Linked DNA regions of Lepisosteus oculatus. The protein of the gene in region 1 interacts with the protein of each later gene in a pairwise test. Links are inferred from orthologs where the notes say so. Each region holds a gene or a part of one and is shown in the gene's direction. Other genes may lie near its edges.

The links. The genes of interacting proteins can lie anywhere in the genome.
Region 2: the proteins of rnf103 (region 1) and ube2e2 interact in a two-hybrid assay, tested with the Homo sapiens proteins (2 studies listed by BioGRID). The link is inferred for Lepisosteus oculatus from reciprocal best matches to the Homo sapiens genes RNF103 and UBE2E2.

What each region holds. Positions count from the first base shown.
Region 1 is NC_090696.1:35,726,141-35,734,536, reverse strand, and holds the start of rnf103 (E3 ubiquitin-protein ligase RNF103), read left to right. Parts: upstream 1-4,976; 5' UTR 4,977-5,570; coding exon 5,571-5,796; intron 5,797-7,072; coding exon 7,073-7,215; intron 7,216-8,396. Other genes in the region: E3 ubiquitin-protein ligase RMND5A, read right to left, coding at 1,224-1,382, 1,679-1,793. UniProt on the Homo sapiens protein: Acts as an E2-dependent E3 ubiquitin-protein ligase, probably involved in the ER-associated protein degradation pathway.
Region 2 is NC_090705.1:30,631,347-30,639,651, forward strand, and holds the start of ube2e2 (ubiquitin-conjugating enzyme E2 E2), read left to right. Parts: upstream 1-4,846; 5' UTR 4,847-5,018; intron 5,019-7,212; 5' UTR 7,213-7,219; coding exon 7,220-7,395; intron 7,396-8,305.

The sequences.
Region 1 (8,396 bases):
TTTAGGGACAGCAAAACAAAATATCACAGATATAATTTAAAAAGTGCTGTATAGTACTGGGTCAGATAAGACAGACATTGTTGCTGAGGGGCTGCGAAAAAATAATTCCTGTTCAGAACTAAAACTGAACGGGGTACCAAGCTAGACACGTCCACAACTCTATAATAAACACTCTCTTTTCATCCCAAGAACCATTATGCTTCGAAAACCTTTGGGGAAAAAGAACAAGGAAAAATCCCGGACGTTTTACGATATTTGAAAATTCCTTGGAGATTTAAGGACCAAAAAGGATGACATGTCACGGCATGTCCATGAAAAATGGCCGTATAGCAGTCCAGGTATAACTGTAGCATAGCGATCGATTATGTAGCATATTAAAACGTCGTTCTTCAATTCGTTATGGAAACAACACCTCCCGATACGCAATAAAGCAACAGGTCTGGGGAAATAAGTATTTTCCCAAGTGGCGCTTGTACGTTGCTGTACTAAACCTTTGCTCTTCGTGCTCTAAAAACACGACCATGTGATATGTTATAGTAGACTCCTGCGCCAAAAAACGTTTTCTTCAAACTCACCCGAACACATGTTAAATGAAAAGGGTGTCGCTAAAAGATCATTTGCACTAAACGTCTTTATTAAGAAGCCTAAGGTCTGTACCGAGTATTGAGCCACTACTATTTCCCCTGTACCAGAAGGAATGGAAACGATCAGTACAGTTAAGGAAAGCCACATACAACCATCACTACACAGGACCTTCCAATACAAAACACAGAAACGGCAAGTTTAAAAACACTTAAATGATAAGCACGCTTTTGACTTCTATCGGGTTTTCAGCGCTTCGTGGTTTCTTTTCAAAATGTTAACTAGTGGATCATATCCGCCACAATGTACAGTACCAGTACTACACTGTAGTTACTGTACCGGGTGTTTTGCTGCACTGAGACGAGACAAAATCGTGAACGCAGAAAACACGTGACTACTCACGGAGGCAAGAAACAAACAGGCCTAAACGAAACTGTGCGAAACCGCAATCCTGCGGAACTGGCACGTTTACAAAGCAATCGGACATCGAAGTTTTCTACACACCTAACCTGGCTGTAGGCCTTCGCCCATACAACTAAAACGGGCTGACCATTTTTCATGGGTCTGGAAGATGATCTCACGACAGCTCGATAAACACAAAGATGACATTCCACGTTTCCCTCATCAAAATATAAACTCACCGCCAGTCTGTATTATCTCGTGTTTCAGGCCACTGGTGTACTCGATCAGCTCTTCCAGTGTCCTATCGCAGTGCTGCCCGTAGCTCGAGAATTTCTGCAGCACTTTCTCCAGCTCCCGCTCCACATTAACACACTGATCCATGACGCTGCTCGTCTGCGCTACAGAAATACAATCAGAATTTAAGAAAGGGAAAGACACGCAGCGCCAAACACGCACACGAAAAAAAAATCAAAACCAAAACACCTTCACCTCAACTTTGGCGTAAGCAGAATGTTTTTGTTTTTAATGGACCTGAACATTGACCCGATTTCCAAGGGCGACACCAACAGGCTGGCACACAGGGGGGTGCCGAAAATATTAGGACCACGCGAAACATAACCAATTTTTCAGTATATACCTAAATGCAAAAATATATCTAAAGGAATAAGGTAGAATTTGTAGAAGCTTTAGTTACCTGCTGTTCTTAAGCAACACAGCACATTTTTATCAGTTATCACGTCCCCTGCTGTACCACGTGACAGGACCGAGCGAATCGCGTGACTGAGCGTAGCGGAACTTCCGTTTGACATCCCGAGTCCGCTCGGTCCGTGGCTTGTGTTTGTTTACCAATTTACGAAACTTCGTAATGATGTTTACAAATCGAAGTTTGTGTGACATTTTGAATATAGCTCCCTTCATCAATTCAGTGTGTAGTCATATAGATTTTTTATCCATTTATTAATGACCTACACGCACATTTTATTAACTGTTTGGCAGTAATATTATCGAACTACTCTGAAATCAGTGACGCAGCGAAGAGTTGCGCTGAGAATGTGGTTACACCAGAACTGCCACCGAATGCATTTAGCGCTCTGCACTTTGTGCATACTGATATGAATTTTGATCACATTGGTTTAAAGTTATGTTTTGATGATTATTTTACGTTTGACTAGCCAATTATATTTCAAATTAGTACTTATTTTGGAGAAAGGGGACGAAAATTAAAGAGAAGATGTGAAGCTTTTTATATTTATAAATGAGAGTTTGTGAAAAATATACACCTTAGATTTAGCAAGATTTTATGAATAATTAACAAGTGCAGTGATACACGTCTAAGTCAAGACTCTTAAATATTTTGTAAATGAAAACTTGGAAGTAATGTGTTATATACAATAGTGTGCAAAAGTCTGTGTTAATAATAATAATTACACTTATATAGCACTTTTCTGGACACTCCACTCAAAGCGCTTTACACCACCACCACTTCATCCATGTGCAGCATCCACCTGGATGATGCGACAGCAGCTCACCACACATCAGCTATCAGTGGGGAGGAGAGCAGAGCAATATAGCCAATTCATAGAGGGGGCTATGATTGGTAAGGGCCAATGGGAAATTTGGCCAGGACGCCAGGGTTACTCTTTTCAAGAAACACCCTGGGATTTTTAATGACCACAAAGAGTCAGGACCTTGGTTTTACATCTCATCCGAAGGACGGCACCTGTTCACAGTATAGTGTCCCCATCACTATACTGGGGAATTAGGACCCACATGGATCACAGGGTGAGCACCCCCTGCTGGCCCCACTAACACCTCTTCCAGCAGCAACCTTAGTTTTCCCAGGAGGTCTCCTATCCAGGTACTGACCAGGCTCACACCTGCTTAGTTTCAGTGGGTTGCCAGTTGTGAGTTGCAGGGTGATATGGCTGCTGGCTCATGTTGTGAGAATTAACAATTTACTCAAAGTCTCCACAAGTGTTGTGTAGTAGTATAACAAATAGAAGCTTGTCATTTTATTCATATTGGTGAGAATTAGCTAGCACCAGTATAGAAGAACTTGAGGTAACTTCCACATGAGTAGCACATATACAGGTAAGTGTTGTAGTAGTTAATTCTACACATTTAATAAATTTAATGAGGTTTTCCTTAGTGGGAATATCATTTAACAATAATAGTTAAATGGTCTGGTCCTTTGCTCATTTTACCCCGGACTAAATCAAAGACTTTTGGTGACTGTACCTTTTCTGTTGCTGCTCCAGTGTTATGGAATGACCTTTCTCAGACTCTACAACTTTTTTAAGATAACTTTTTAAAAAGCTCTTTGAAACGACTCAAAACTTTCCTTTTACCAAAGTCTACATCTGGTTGACTACATCTGTTAAACCCTGTATGCACTTGTTTATTTTTGTGTGTACTTTTTATTGTACTTTAATTTGTTTTTCTTTATTCATGATGTACAACGTCCTTGGGTTTGGAAAAGAGCTTTATAAATAAAAGTGTATTATTATTATTTATTTCTGTCCATACATCAATAAGCTTACAGGCTATGTTTGCATTGCAATATACAGATCTATCAGATTGAACTTATCTTAAAATGCAATGGCTATACTGTATATTCAAGAGAAGATAGCTTGAATTCTGTTTCTGCATAAAGCAGGGAAAACACTAAATGAAAAGGATAGAACAGTTTTACACAATAATGTGTATGTAAATACAGAAGAAAATAGTAAAGAAGGAAAATCACCAGAACAAGTCGGGCAAACATAGTAGAAAATACAAGTTCCTAAAATGTTTTTTTTTTGGAAGTCTTCACCCACTAGTGAATTGACTGAGATGGACAATGCTATATTTTTTTATTAATAACAGACACGATAGCCATGTAGCCATGCCATGGCTGAGACTTTTTTCTATGTGTATTTCAGTTACAACATTTAAAAAAAAGACAATTACTAATTTATCTAGGCACTACTTACTGCAGAGCCCAATAAAAAGTATGTGCCTGACTGATGATGACTGTTGTGTCTCTGCAACGGATGCGGTGTATTAACTCATTACATATATGACTATTTAATAATTTAATACAATAAGAAAACTGAGCTTTAAATTTCAGAGAAGTTTTGCCTATCAAACTACATGCTGTTTGGAAAGAAATTTAAATGAAAATTCTATACAGTTGCAAGAGAAGGAGAGGGAAATCACATTCTTAGTGCAAATGACTCACACAATTTCAACTGCAGTTTCCTCCGAGAGCATTCGGTACTTAATAGCTGTCTTAATAACATGTATAGCATCTGGAATATAAATAATATTTTTAAAGTGCTCATTGAAAACTCACATTCTTTGCTCCAAAAAGATATCAGTTATCCAACACTTAGTTGTACACAAAATCTATTTGACTAAAAACAAAGCATGTTTAATTGCCACTTTTAATACCTACTCTATTGTAAGAAGCTGATGTAGCAACTGCAGCTTCTATTCCTGCCTCATTTTGCCTATTACACATTCTGTATATTGGCAGGATAGAAAGCTGCAGTGTCTCTGCCATGTATGTTTGAGCATGTGGGTGTTCTGAGGGTTTGACATGGACACTGCTACACAACACAGAAGCGTTTGTTGTACTGTGAGACCAGATCTGCTGTTTTGTGAAGATATTTTCTAAAATACCATTCTTGGAAAATGTCAGTGCATTTTAAAACAAACCTTTTTAATGCTGCTAAACCCACGTTTTGCGATCTTTTCAATTTATATGCTAACATTAAAGTAATTCTGTTCCAGGATTCTTACAGTTTACATCACAACTCTACTAACCATATTTAAAGAATAAACACATCTTCTAAAGTCAATTAAATGTATTGTATCCAGACATTTTGGTCATGGTTCTTAGTTTGGTAAGTTTAAAAACGGTTTTAAATTACCACAGCCCGTGTAATCGGTTTATACTCTTACAGTATGCTGGAATCCAATGCGTGATATAAACAAGGTTTATTTTATTACGAATCCAAAAGCTTCGCTTCTTTTCCATTGGAAGAAAATGAAACAAGTCTCGTCGGTCCTTCCTGTCGGTGACGTCATGTTGTTATGCATGCCAGCTGATCTGGCAGGCAAGGCGCTCCAACATCAGCAACTGTAGGGACAACGGCAACTATCGCTTATCTAAAAATGCCGTGATCTGAACTCGTCATTACATGTCATGAATTTGCTCACAATTGGCACGCTGGGAGGGTTGGAATAAGCAGCAAAAGCTGACCATCTTATTGTTTTAGGGAGAGCGTAAATTAAGCTTTCGCACTGTATTTGATTTTTTTTTCCCCACACAAGACAACTTCTGAAAATGGTGGACATCCAGAGACTGTACAGTTGGCCTTAACGGGCCTTGTTAGCTCGCTGATCGTGGAGAGTGGATTGCTTCTTTGTTTTTTAAAAGTTTCAAGTTCAGCCAGCGCTAAAGGGGAAGCCTGCAAATGAAAGCAAGTCTTAGGAAGAAATAGACGAGCCCCAAATGCAACGTAGGTTACTCGCCTATTCCTACCCGGAAATCGTAGCGCCAGCGTTTTAAAAATATTCCCGTTGCAGCAAGGAGGTGGAAAATGTGGCTGAAGCTGTTTTTTCTGCTGTTGTATTTTTTGGTCTTATTCGTTCTGGCACGGTTTTTCGAAGCTGTCGTGTGGTATGAAACTGGTATTTTTGCAACTCAGCTGGTGGACCCTGTGACGCTGAGCTTTAAGAAGCTGAAGACGATACTGGAATGCAGAGGGCTGGGGTACTCCGGGCTCCCGGAGAAGAAGGATGTCCGGGAGCTGGTCGAGAAATCAGGTAAGTTCTAAAGCATTGTGTCGGAGCCAGAACGTCACAAAGGGTCCTCTTCATTCGACACGTCTCTATTGTGTTTATTTTTACACCTAAAGAATGGCAAGAAGAGCTAATTTGTGTAATATTTGTTTGTAAAAATTAACTGCATGGTTAAAAAAGCTACGGGAATTCTTTCCTTTGTAGCCCATGCTGCAAACATTCTCTCAAAGATATCGTTTGAATTACTTTAGTCTTAATAGAACGAACTAGGTGATATGATTATTTTTCTAAGATATTTGAGGTGTTCCACTATTTCGCACTAAGTTTACAAATCAACGGTTGTCTCATGTCCAAATTTTTTTCGTGCATAAATATTATTTTTACGGGGGTTCACAAACCTATGGTATTTCTAATACTTAGAGGTCAGGAAAGGGTCCCTACTTTTTTCTGCGGACAAGTGAAAAAGAGAACGCTTTAAAGCTTGTTATCTGTCACACGACCTAAGAAGCTAGAAAATACAGGGGTGAGTCTTCAGTTTAATTCAGCTACACAGAAATAAAGGAAACTTTTAGTATAATGCGACTAACGCCTAGAATCTAAAACAGAACAGAATATTTTGGTATTTACGCTACACGTTGTATCTGCGGGAGTTGAATGGCTTATTGACCACTGCTTCATTAACCCCTTTTGATCTTTTAAAGACTGGACAGCAGTGGTCAAGTCCGTGATTGTTCATCCAGAAATTCCTGAACACATTTCAAATTGTTGTAATTTTTTCCCCCTCGATAGTTTTCATTTTCTTTTCCATCTATATTAAACGTTTCCAAAGTACCGATAAGGAACGGTGGTGAATTCCTTTTCACTGAATCAAACAATATACATTCTGTGCCCTAAAAGTGATGTTTTATAACCCTTTCACAACTACCAGGAATCTCTTTTAAAAAAACTATCTTGAAAATGCATTACAACAGGTGGTTTATGCTGACCCTCTCCTAAAATGAAGGTTTTGAATCCATCCATTTGCATATGTTTTTAACTTAACTTCTGGGTTCAAAGAGCTCATTCGTTAGGTTGGTGTTTAAACTAAACTCTGCCAACAGACATTTTTTTTTGTTCTTGAGAAAGCAAGGAAAAATGCTGAACTTAACAGAAAAATTTCCATCATACCCCAGTACTGACATATATTTAGTGAGTAACATATCAAATATCCATGTATGTCCCACAACAGATCTGTTTTATTGCCTAGTCAGATGTACATGTCTGTTTTTTCTTCATTCAGCACTACTATTTCTGCCTGCAGGTGATCTCATGGAGGGCGAGCTGTATTCAGCTCTGAAGAGTGAGGAGGAGGCCTCGGATCCAGTCTCCAGCACCTCTTTTAGTGGAGAGATGCATTTCTATGAGCTTGTAGAGGACACCAAAGATGGCATCTGGTTGGTTCAGGTAAGAATGCGAGACTAAAGTGTTCTAGCTGTGTCCTTTTTTTTAATGGGAGTTGCTTTAAGTCATACCACTTTTGGGAATGAACAGTGAACCCTTCAAGTCAGTGAAATGCCCTGTGAAACCCCTGAAGCTTAAGTTTTACAGGCGTACTGCAGTCCCAGTTTCTCAGTCCGGTAATTAAATCTCGGTAACAAAATTAATTCATTGACATTAAAGAAAAATTTTACACATTTCGAATTAAGTACAAAATAATCAACTTTGTGAAAGTACTGTAAGTCGCCATGTTGTCGCAAACTCACATTTGAGTTCCCACGAATAGCAATGTGGCCCTTCCTGCTCACTAGTCACTGAAATGACTGATGTATGAGCGATTAAGTACAGGTTGTGCAGCAGGTATTTCATGGCTGAATTGTCCCAACATTATCTGCAGACAGAGTTCTGTCGGGGAAAAAGAGATGTATTCACAAACCTGCTTGTTTACAATGTTATAAGGCCGCAACACATCACCGGAAGTTTTGTTGCCTCATTCTGAATCTCAGAATATGGCTTTGCACATACCTGGAAATTCAGTGTATTTTGTGATGCAAATTGGAGGTTTTACACATTTTCTGTGTACATTTTACTTTCATTGTGGTTTGAAATGCACTCTTCAGTGCTGATTGTTTCTAATTAGAAATATAAAAATAGTGTTGCTGTTCCCCTTTTAAACAAATAGGAGGGAAGAATGGTCAAGTGGGTTTACTTACTCGAATGCAGCTGTGGCACAATCCTGGAAAGCCAGTTTTGTGTAATTCTGGAACTGAATTCTTCTGGCATTCTCCTCCTTAATTCCTTTATTTATTTAACTGCGACATATTATTTATCTTTTATTTGAACTAAAAAGGAAGTCATGGCTGGAGATCGTCACAAAAGACATCACTCTGTTTGTTCTTGGTCTGTCTGCTTTCTGTTCTCTGGCCTTGACTAACTTTTTAGTTAAAATAGAAGATACAGAATTTAAAAGCTATTGGAGCGGTGCGTTTTTATCGATTCTGTTTTAGTATCCAGCTGATTGTAGATCCTGCTTGAACAGAGCTGTTCATACTACTGTCCTGTTGTAATTTCTGGATACCTGACTTCACTTGTCCTATGCAGGCTGGGTTTTCAGCTCTCACTCAGACCTCGGTCTCCACAAACCCGGT
Region 2 (8,305 bases), on another chromosome or scaffold:
TGAGCCTGGTCAGTACCTGGATGGGAGGTTGCTGCTGGAAGAGGTGTTAGTGGGGCGAGCAGGGGGTGCTCACCCTGCGGTCCATGTGGGTCCTAATGCCCCAGTGTAGTTACGGGGACACTATACTGTAAACAGGCGCCTTCCTTCGGATGAGATGTAAAAACCGAGGTCCTGACTCTCTGTGGTCATTAAAAATCCCAGGGTGTTTCTCAAAAAGAGTAGGGGTGTACCCCGGCGTCCTGGCCAAATTTCCCATCGGCCTTTATCAATCATGGCCTCCTAACAATCCCCCTCTATAAATTGGCTTCATTACTCTGCTCTCCTCCCCACTGATCGCTGATGTGTGGTGAGTGTTCTGGCGCACTATGGCTGCCGTCGCATCATCCAGGTGGGGATGCACATTGGTGGTGGTGGAGGGGAGTCCCCATTACCTGTAAAGCGCTTTGAGTGGAGTGTCCAGAAAAGCGCTATATAAGTGTAAGCAATTATTATTTTTATTATTATTATTATTATTATTATTACTGATCCTTGTTTTTACTAATCCCAGCTAAAAGCAAATTTCCTTCCTGCCAGACATAGCATAGGCATCACCTTAACTGATGCTCCACTATACAAGGTATTGTACAGTACATATTACTATACTGTCAGCTGTACGACATATCATTGAAAGTAAAGTGGTTTGGATAACCCCTTTGTCTTGGCAGAGATGCTTCAAGCACTAAAAACAATTTATAGTCCCAGAGAAAGAGAAAAATAAAAACGTTAACTGGGGACTTGAGTATTATATGATTAAGTAAACCGACTACAGAGCAACATGTTGTTTAAATCATGTTCCAGCTGCATATACTGTATGTGAGGTGTTTAAGCTGCCAGCTTTTCATGTCTTGGAGCTGAAAACAGGGGACAATATATACAGCACATTAGGATATGCATCAAATCCCTTTACCATTAGTCACAGTGGTGCAAACTACTGAAACGGTACTACAGAGATGACCAGGCAGAATGCTAGGAGATGTGCTATTGTAGAACATTATATCATCTATATTACAAAAAGACATACATAAATGCGGCTTTAACTCCAAAGTGTGAAAAAACACAAATAAGCCAAAGCAATATACAAATGCACAAGCTAAAATCACCGCCATTCAAGCTTCTATGTTGTGGGTTAGTTTCTAGCCTTGACTGACTTGGATGATTGTTATGCTGATCTGATTGCTATAAGGGGTTTTTTAGCGAACAGTCTAGGTAATCTGAGTCAAGGCCGATTTAGATTAGAATTCATTCTAATTCTACAGTGGGCTCACAGTAGTGAACTCCATTTATAAACTTATCTGTGCAATTCAGTTATATTCTACAAAGCTATCCCACATAACAGAACACGCTGCTGAAATTGATTTTTTTCATTTTTAAAACATGCAGTGAACAGAACAAAACCCAGAAAATGCATGTTATTCAGTTTTCCCTGTTTAAATTGTGTGTGAAGACTGTAATTGGGAAAAAATAGGAAATCAGAAAAAATGTATTCTTTAGATCCTTTTTATCAGTGTCACTGGGATTAAATGGAAATATAAGTAAAGCATTCAATATGTTACAATAATCTTATAAAAAATGTAGAACTAACTCTGAAGAAAATCTATTACTGTTGCTTGTCACTTGTAAGGTATTTTGCTGCCATACAAAAAACTGTCTTGGAATTTTGACTAAACCAATTAGTTATGCACAGATTTAGTTTTTAACACTTGCCTGTATTCCTATGTAGGCCACTGCCAGGATCTGCAGAGTGGCACTAGTTTGTACTGTGCAGTAAAGTCTTCAGAAACGTATTGATATTCCAGTGGATCAGTGTGGATATTTTATGACAGCAACCATTTTCAATTCTCAGTTCAATGTCTTGGCAGAAACAGAAAGTTTGGCTGTAATTTTTCACAGCGTTTTTCCCACTGCATAAAATGCACATGGCATTTGCTTCAGAATAATGTCAGTATCAGTGGGTTACCGTTCGCTCTGTTTATAACAACAGCCACACGTATTGTTCTGCAACTTGTATACTGAAGAAAAACTCATTGGCAACAGCTGGTTTAAGATATTGAAATATTTTAGATTTGAAACACATTTAAAGATGAAATAATCTTTTAAAAGAAGCACATACTTCCACCACAGCATTAGTCAAGATGAACTTCATATTGATTTATCCTACATTTTCTTTCAGTAAATAGGAAACTTACAGTTGTTGATACTTATTTATTAGCCAGTGTACAACCAGAATAGACAGTGGACTAGTTCAGGAAGTTAGTTTTCCAGACTATATCTATTAACAAAAAAAAGAAAACAGTATTTTCAAAAAGAAGAGTGAAAGGCATGAATATCATTATTTTAGCAGGTACATTAAGCATAGTTCATGTAAAAAAATACATTTTAAAGAGAGAGGGACGAGTCAAGCAGAGGAATTTGAAGCAATTATAAAAAGATAATTATTAAAACACAATCAGTGTGCACAGCTGAACTGTCACTGATGTTTCCTATCAAAGTATTTATAAAATGCTTTATAAATATGTAAATAGACATTAAAAAGTATCGCTTGTCTTCAAAAGATGAAGTGCAGTTAAACTTCAATTTATAACGAACAACAATATGCCACTTTTGCAAACTCTTTGGATACGTTACATCAATCAATAGTTTTTTTTATTCCATTTCTTATTCAAAAAGAGTTACCAGCATGACTGGTGCAATACTTCCTTTTTATACAGTATGTGAAACCCCACAAACTCATATGATAGCCCATCATAATCTGACTAGCTGTATGTGCTTGGTATTTCTTTACTCTGATTTTGAGGGATTCTTTGGAAAACAATTCAAGCAAGTAATTTTAAAATGGCCTCACAGTTTAAATATTGGAATTTCTTATTTGGTTTACAAATCTCTTTGACATAAGCTTGGAGCATTAAATGTCAGACGGATATAACAGCTTTCAACACCAGCTACCAAGCACTCCCTTCGCAAAACTGACAACTTAACTTTTACAAAACCACTTCCATCAGCTTAGAATAACACAGCAGTACCCTCTCAGAAACAATGAATTTATATCACTAGGAAAGCACTTGGCAGTCTTTAAAACTGAAATGGTTTCATTCATTTTGTAAATGGCTGTACACAATAACACAAAGTGAGTCACTAACGATATTACCACATCAGCTATGCTTTCTTCACACTCATCTCTCAATGTGTGATGTTTGGTTTACAGGCTGCCAGCCAACCTATAGCCTGCAAGGCAGCAGCTAAAATAAAGAAGCTATAGCTATTGAACTGCTCTGAGTCAAGAACTGAAGAACAAAGCACATGGCTATCTGCTTTCAAAAGCAGGGGTCACAAACTTCAGTCTGTGAAAGCAAGGAGATTTTCAGCTAGATGTTCCACCTGAGCTACGTACAGTAGTTGATAAATCAGACAATTTTAACAAACTTTCCAAGCCTCTATCTGGTAAGGGATACATTTATAAATGAAGCACTTATAATAATGTGGTCTCATTTTTAAATCAACTGCATACAACCTGAAGGAAATACTGAAAAATATTCTATGCTGCAATTATTTGTGCAAAAGAGTAATTTAGAACTCAGGCAATTTTGCACTTGCGCTCAAGACTCACCACTTAAGGACATTTAATTTTGCCTTACTAGATATGTACAGTAATACTACAAAATATGTATATATTTATACAGTAGCATGGCAATTAAAATTATATTTTATATTTAATTTTTCGATCTTTTAGGCTACATTAATATATCAAAACTAGATGTTTTTACAGATTTGTGGAAACAACAACATTTAAATAAATGAATTCCTTGTTTTTTCTTTTGTCTGACGGTAAGGTTGCCACTCACAAGGGGAGTTGTTTACATGAGTAATGTGAATTTAAATTGATCAGAATTCTGCTAACAGTGTGTATTGCTACATTTGAATTTGTATTAAGGGAACTTATACTGTGTAAAACCACAATGTTTCTGTTGTGACAGATCTGAAATTAATCAGATTTAGTCATTGCTATGGAAAACCCCATCTTCAAGTGAGCTAAATAAAGTAAGCTGATAAATCGTTAACTGCTGTAACTAACGTGATTTAGGCACCAGTACAATTGCAATTTGAAAGGCTTTTTAATTAAAACACATGACGGGTAAATTTCTTGTTTCCATTTTATCTTTTAATTAGAAAAAAAAACTCAGAATGTGTGTAAATCCATTTAGAGCAAACGAGGTAAATAAATTATAAAACATAAAAATTCCAAATGAAACTTTCTAGTTTGTAAAACATGGTCTGGTTTGTTTTCTTTTACGTCTTTTTTTCATTTCAAAGGAAGAAATACGCCAGAGATATACAGCTATCACCGTTGCTACACCAGGGGGTTCATCTTTTGTGTTTTTTGGCAAATGCACATCTTTTTGAAGTGATTCTGCGATCCAGCATGGGAAACACGAAATAATAATAATAATAATAATAATAATAATAATAATAATAATAATAATCGAGAAAGAAGAACCTCTCTATTTCTTGGCCTTCTTAAGAAGAAAAAAAAAGTGTTACTATCTGTCTGCCTCTCCTCTCAGAGGTCGCCTGTGATCCTGACCTCGAGAAGTCTTCGCGAACAAAATCTCTATCGGTCTCAAAGAATTTAACGCCGCTTCACACCTCCCTTCCCCAGCGCAGAAGTCAGGCCACATGAGCGCGCCTCCCCGCACAACTTTATCCCATTTCGCATTGACATTTCCTGCTCCATTCTCTCCCCTCCCCCGGCACCAGCTGCGCCAGAACGCGCAGCGCCCCCCCATAAACAGTGCTCGGGAACGCGCGCGGAGGCGGTCCGGCTGCTTCAGTTTCTGTCGGCTGCGTTCTGTCTGTGTATACGTTCTAGTAACGAAAGACAGAGATAGAAAGGCAGCGAGAGCGAGCTGCTCGGGAGACACTTAACGTCGGGGTTAACAACAGTGATTTCTAACACCGACAGCCACTCACCCCGCTGCTGACAGGTAAATGCATCAGTTTTACTTTGTGACTCCGCTCTGAAACTGCCTAAAAAGTGAGGAAATGTCCCGTGAAAGTGACAGTTTTTTTTTTTTTATTGTGGGGGGGATGTGCTTAGCTAGTGTCTTTGTGCTGAAGCAGCTCTCGCTGTGGTCAGTGAAGAAACCTTATGATTTCACACATTTTCAAGCAGCTCCTATAGTGTTCACTTGCAGACGGTGCTGTTTAATTTTAGAGTTCCTGCAGCCAGAAAGACGAGCTCTATCTTTAAAGGATTTGAAGCAAACAGACTCCAGTGCGTTTTACTCTCGGATGTAACTGTAAGGCCTTTTTAAAAGGCATCGTTTTGAGTAGTGCGCACAATTCGGAGCTTGCATTTTGTGCAGTTTAACGTTCATCTGCGGCATTTTGACAGGTCTGTATGGGAAGCGGGCATTTATTTACACAACAAAGGTACACAATGCTTTGAGTTTTCTTGATTCTTTTAATGTAAACACATCTAGACGCCGAAAGGGTTAGACACTCTAAAAACTCTAGGTATTTGTTTAACTTTATGCGTATATCCTTAAAAATAAACTGCACTTGGAAATATTGCCCTTGACAGATATAAGTTCATTATTCAACAAGATTTGAGATAGCAGTTTTCACGCTTGTTTACATCGATTCAAAGAGCTTTGTAAGATCAGCAATTCAGATTACTTGATATAATAAGATTGATTCTAACGTTTTTTTTTGTGAATTACCAATGAATTCTAGGGACAAGCAGCCTAATGTATTGTAGCTGTAAGGCATCAGATACGTGAAAGAAATGAACAGTAGAAATCAAAATAAACAGATCGTTAAAAAAAAAACAAATGATACTGAATCTGACAGAACAAGCACGTGCTTATGAGCTATCAGATATTTTTAAAGATTAACAGTCCGCACACCTTGTAATGCCTTGCCGGAACTCGTTAAAAACCATCATCTTAACTATTTTAAATGAAATGGGCTTTTATAGTCGATTAATTGCTGCTTTTTGGAGCAGTTGTGCACATGCACACCTCAAACAGACCAGTAAAACAGTAAACGTTTTTTCCGCTTTGTGTTCTTTATAAATAAACATCGAAATTGCTGGTCAAGAGGACTGCTGTTCACAGTTGAGATAAATAAATGTTACATTTAACAGCTATGAAAGTGCCACTTCTAACTAGTGGTATTCAGTTCGACTAAAACGTGCTGTGGGTTTGTAGACCTTAGGAAGCATGACCGAAAAACATCTCTTATCCGAGTACAGGGGTCGTGCTGTTGTTTTTAGAATTTTGTATACAGTGTCTTGTGTGAATGCTAAGAAATCTATCAAAACCTCAAATCCCCAGGTATATCTGTTTTTAAGGAATACGCATTTGCTATCACTAACTATGCACTAACAGAGTAGATGTACAGCTACATTTACTCTGTAGCATAACAATCTCAAGTTTGTGCGTTTGTCGTTGTTAAGCTTGCTTTGCTCCCAGTAGTTCTAAAGGCACTTACCTGCCAGACAAAACTAAGGCTAATAATTTTGTTAATTTAGAGATTAGCGTAATGGGTGAGAGCAATAATTTTAAATCAACATCTGTTCATCGTCATTAATTTATATGCTGTAAATGACTTTGACATTGAAAAGTGTACTGATTTGAGAGTGGATGTTTTTTTAATTAGATCAAATCCAATAGTTAGGATTTTTTTTAAAGTGATATATTTGTTTAAACGTACACATAACTATTTTGACCTTTTACAAAAGGAAATGTCAATCTTTCTGAGAGGTGATTATTGTTGAAATATGAACTACAGTTATAACAAAAGCAAGCATTTTTGCCCATATTTTTAGTGTTCCATAGCTTACTTATTTTGTTAAATTCAGTAAAGTGATTATTTTGCTATCAGGTGTCTGCAGTACATACAAATATACAGTATGTTAACTATAGAGAGAATGATAAGCATCTCAGTGTGACAGACTCTGGGAACAGCAGCTTACATGATGCTATCAACATGTAAAAATATCCATGCATGCTGCTATCAAGGATATCCTGGGTGCAGGAAAGTTTAGCTCAAACCTGACATTATAAGCAGGTTTCCAATAGCTGCATGGAGCAGGTACAGTGTGAGATGGGCAGAAAGCACATCTGGTCAAGAGCAGTGGTAATCAAAGTCTGGGTTATGCTTTGTGATTGGAAGGACCAAGATGTCCAGTGAGGTACAAAGACCCGATGACAGTCCCAGTACAAGCGGGGGAAGCTCGGATATAGACCAGCGGGAAAGTGTTCATCAGGAGCAGGAAAGAGAACAAACACAGCCCAAGAAGAAAGAGACAAAAATCTCCAGCAAAACTGCGGCGAAGCTTTCGACAAGTGCAAAAAGGTAACGTTTCCCAGTTCAGTGTGGCCTGCTCCTGACACAGAAGAGATTATGGAACAAGTAAAGGTTTATTCCGTGCTGAGAAGAAAAGAGATGAGGTGTCCACACCCGAAGAAGGCTCCATAGCCACAGACTTTGTGTCTTTTTTTTCCAGCTTGGAATAAACCTTTACTTGTTCCTCTGCAGCCTACGCATGCTGATGCAGATACCCACTAGGAAGAGATTAAGTGCAAAGAAATATCAGTAGCACTGTAAACAGAAACATGAAAGCGATCTGAATTTACAATTTTTATTACAGTTCCCACTGTATCTGTGACCTTTTTATATGAAGTACTCTTATGTTCCTTGTTAGACGCCTCATAGCTCGATAGTTTCAAATCTTAAAATTAGTGCAGTGGTTCTAGCCTCACATTACAGTTAAGCTATTAACTTGACTTTTTAGTATGTGATTCCAGTCAGAATTTTTCTCCTTCCCAACATTTAAGCGTACGGGAATTAAGTAACACAGAAATAGTGTGTTTCTCATTGGGTAGTTAAGATGTCTTTAATTCGTACTGATTTTCAGTTACAGTACCTGAAATAGACAATTGGTTATATTTGTGGATTTAGCTATGAATTCAGTTATTCACATATTTTGTTAAGCATATTTTTTGTTATCAAGTGTCTACAGAATATATATATGTATTAAATCTAAAGAGAATTATAGGCAACTCAGTCTGTCCAGTGGTTCAGTATATTGGGTATATCTGGTAACAATTACCACTGTAATCATTAACATGCTTTTCAGCTGGCAGCTATGTCTTGTCAACTGTGCTGAAGAATACGTTCGGGGATAGGTTTAACTTTATATTTTTAGATTGACATTTGTACGGCATATGCAGTATGTTTAAAGCATTGGTACAGATTTGCAGAG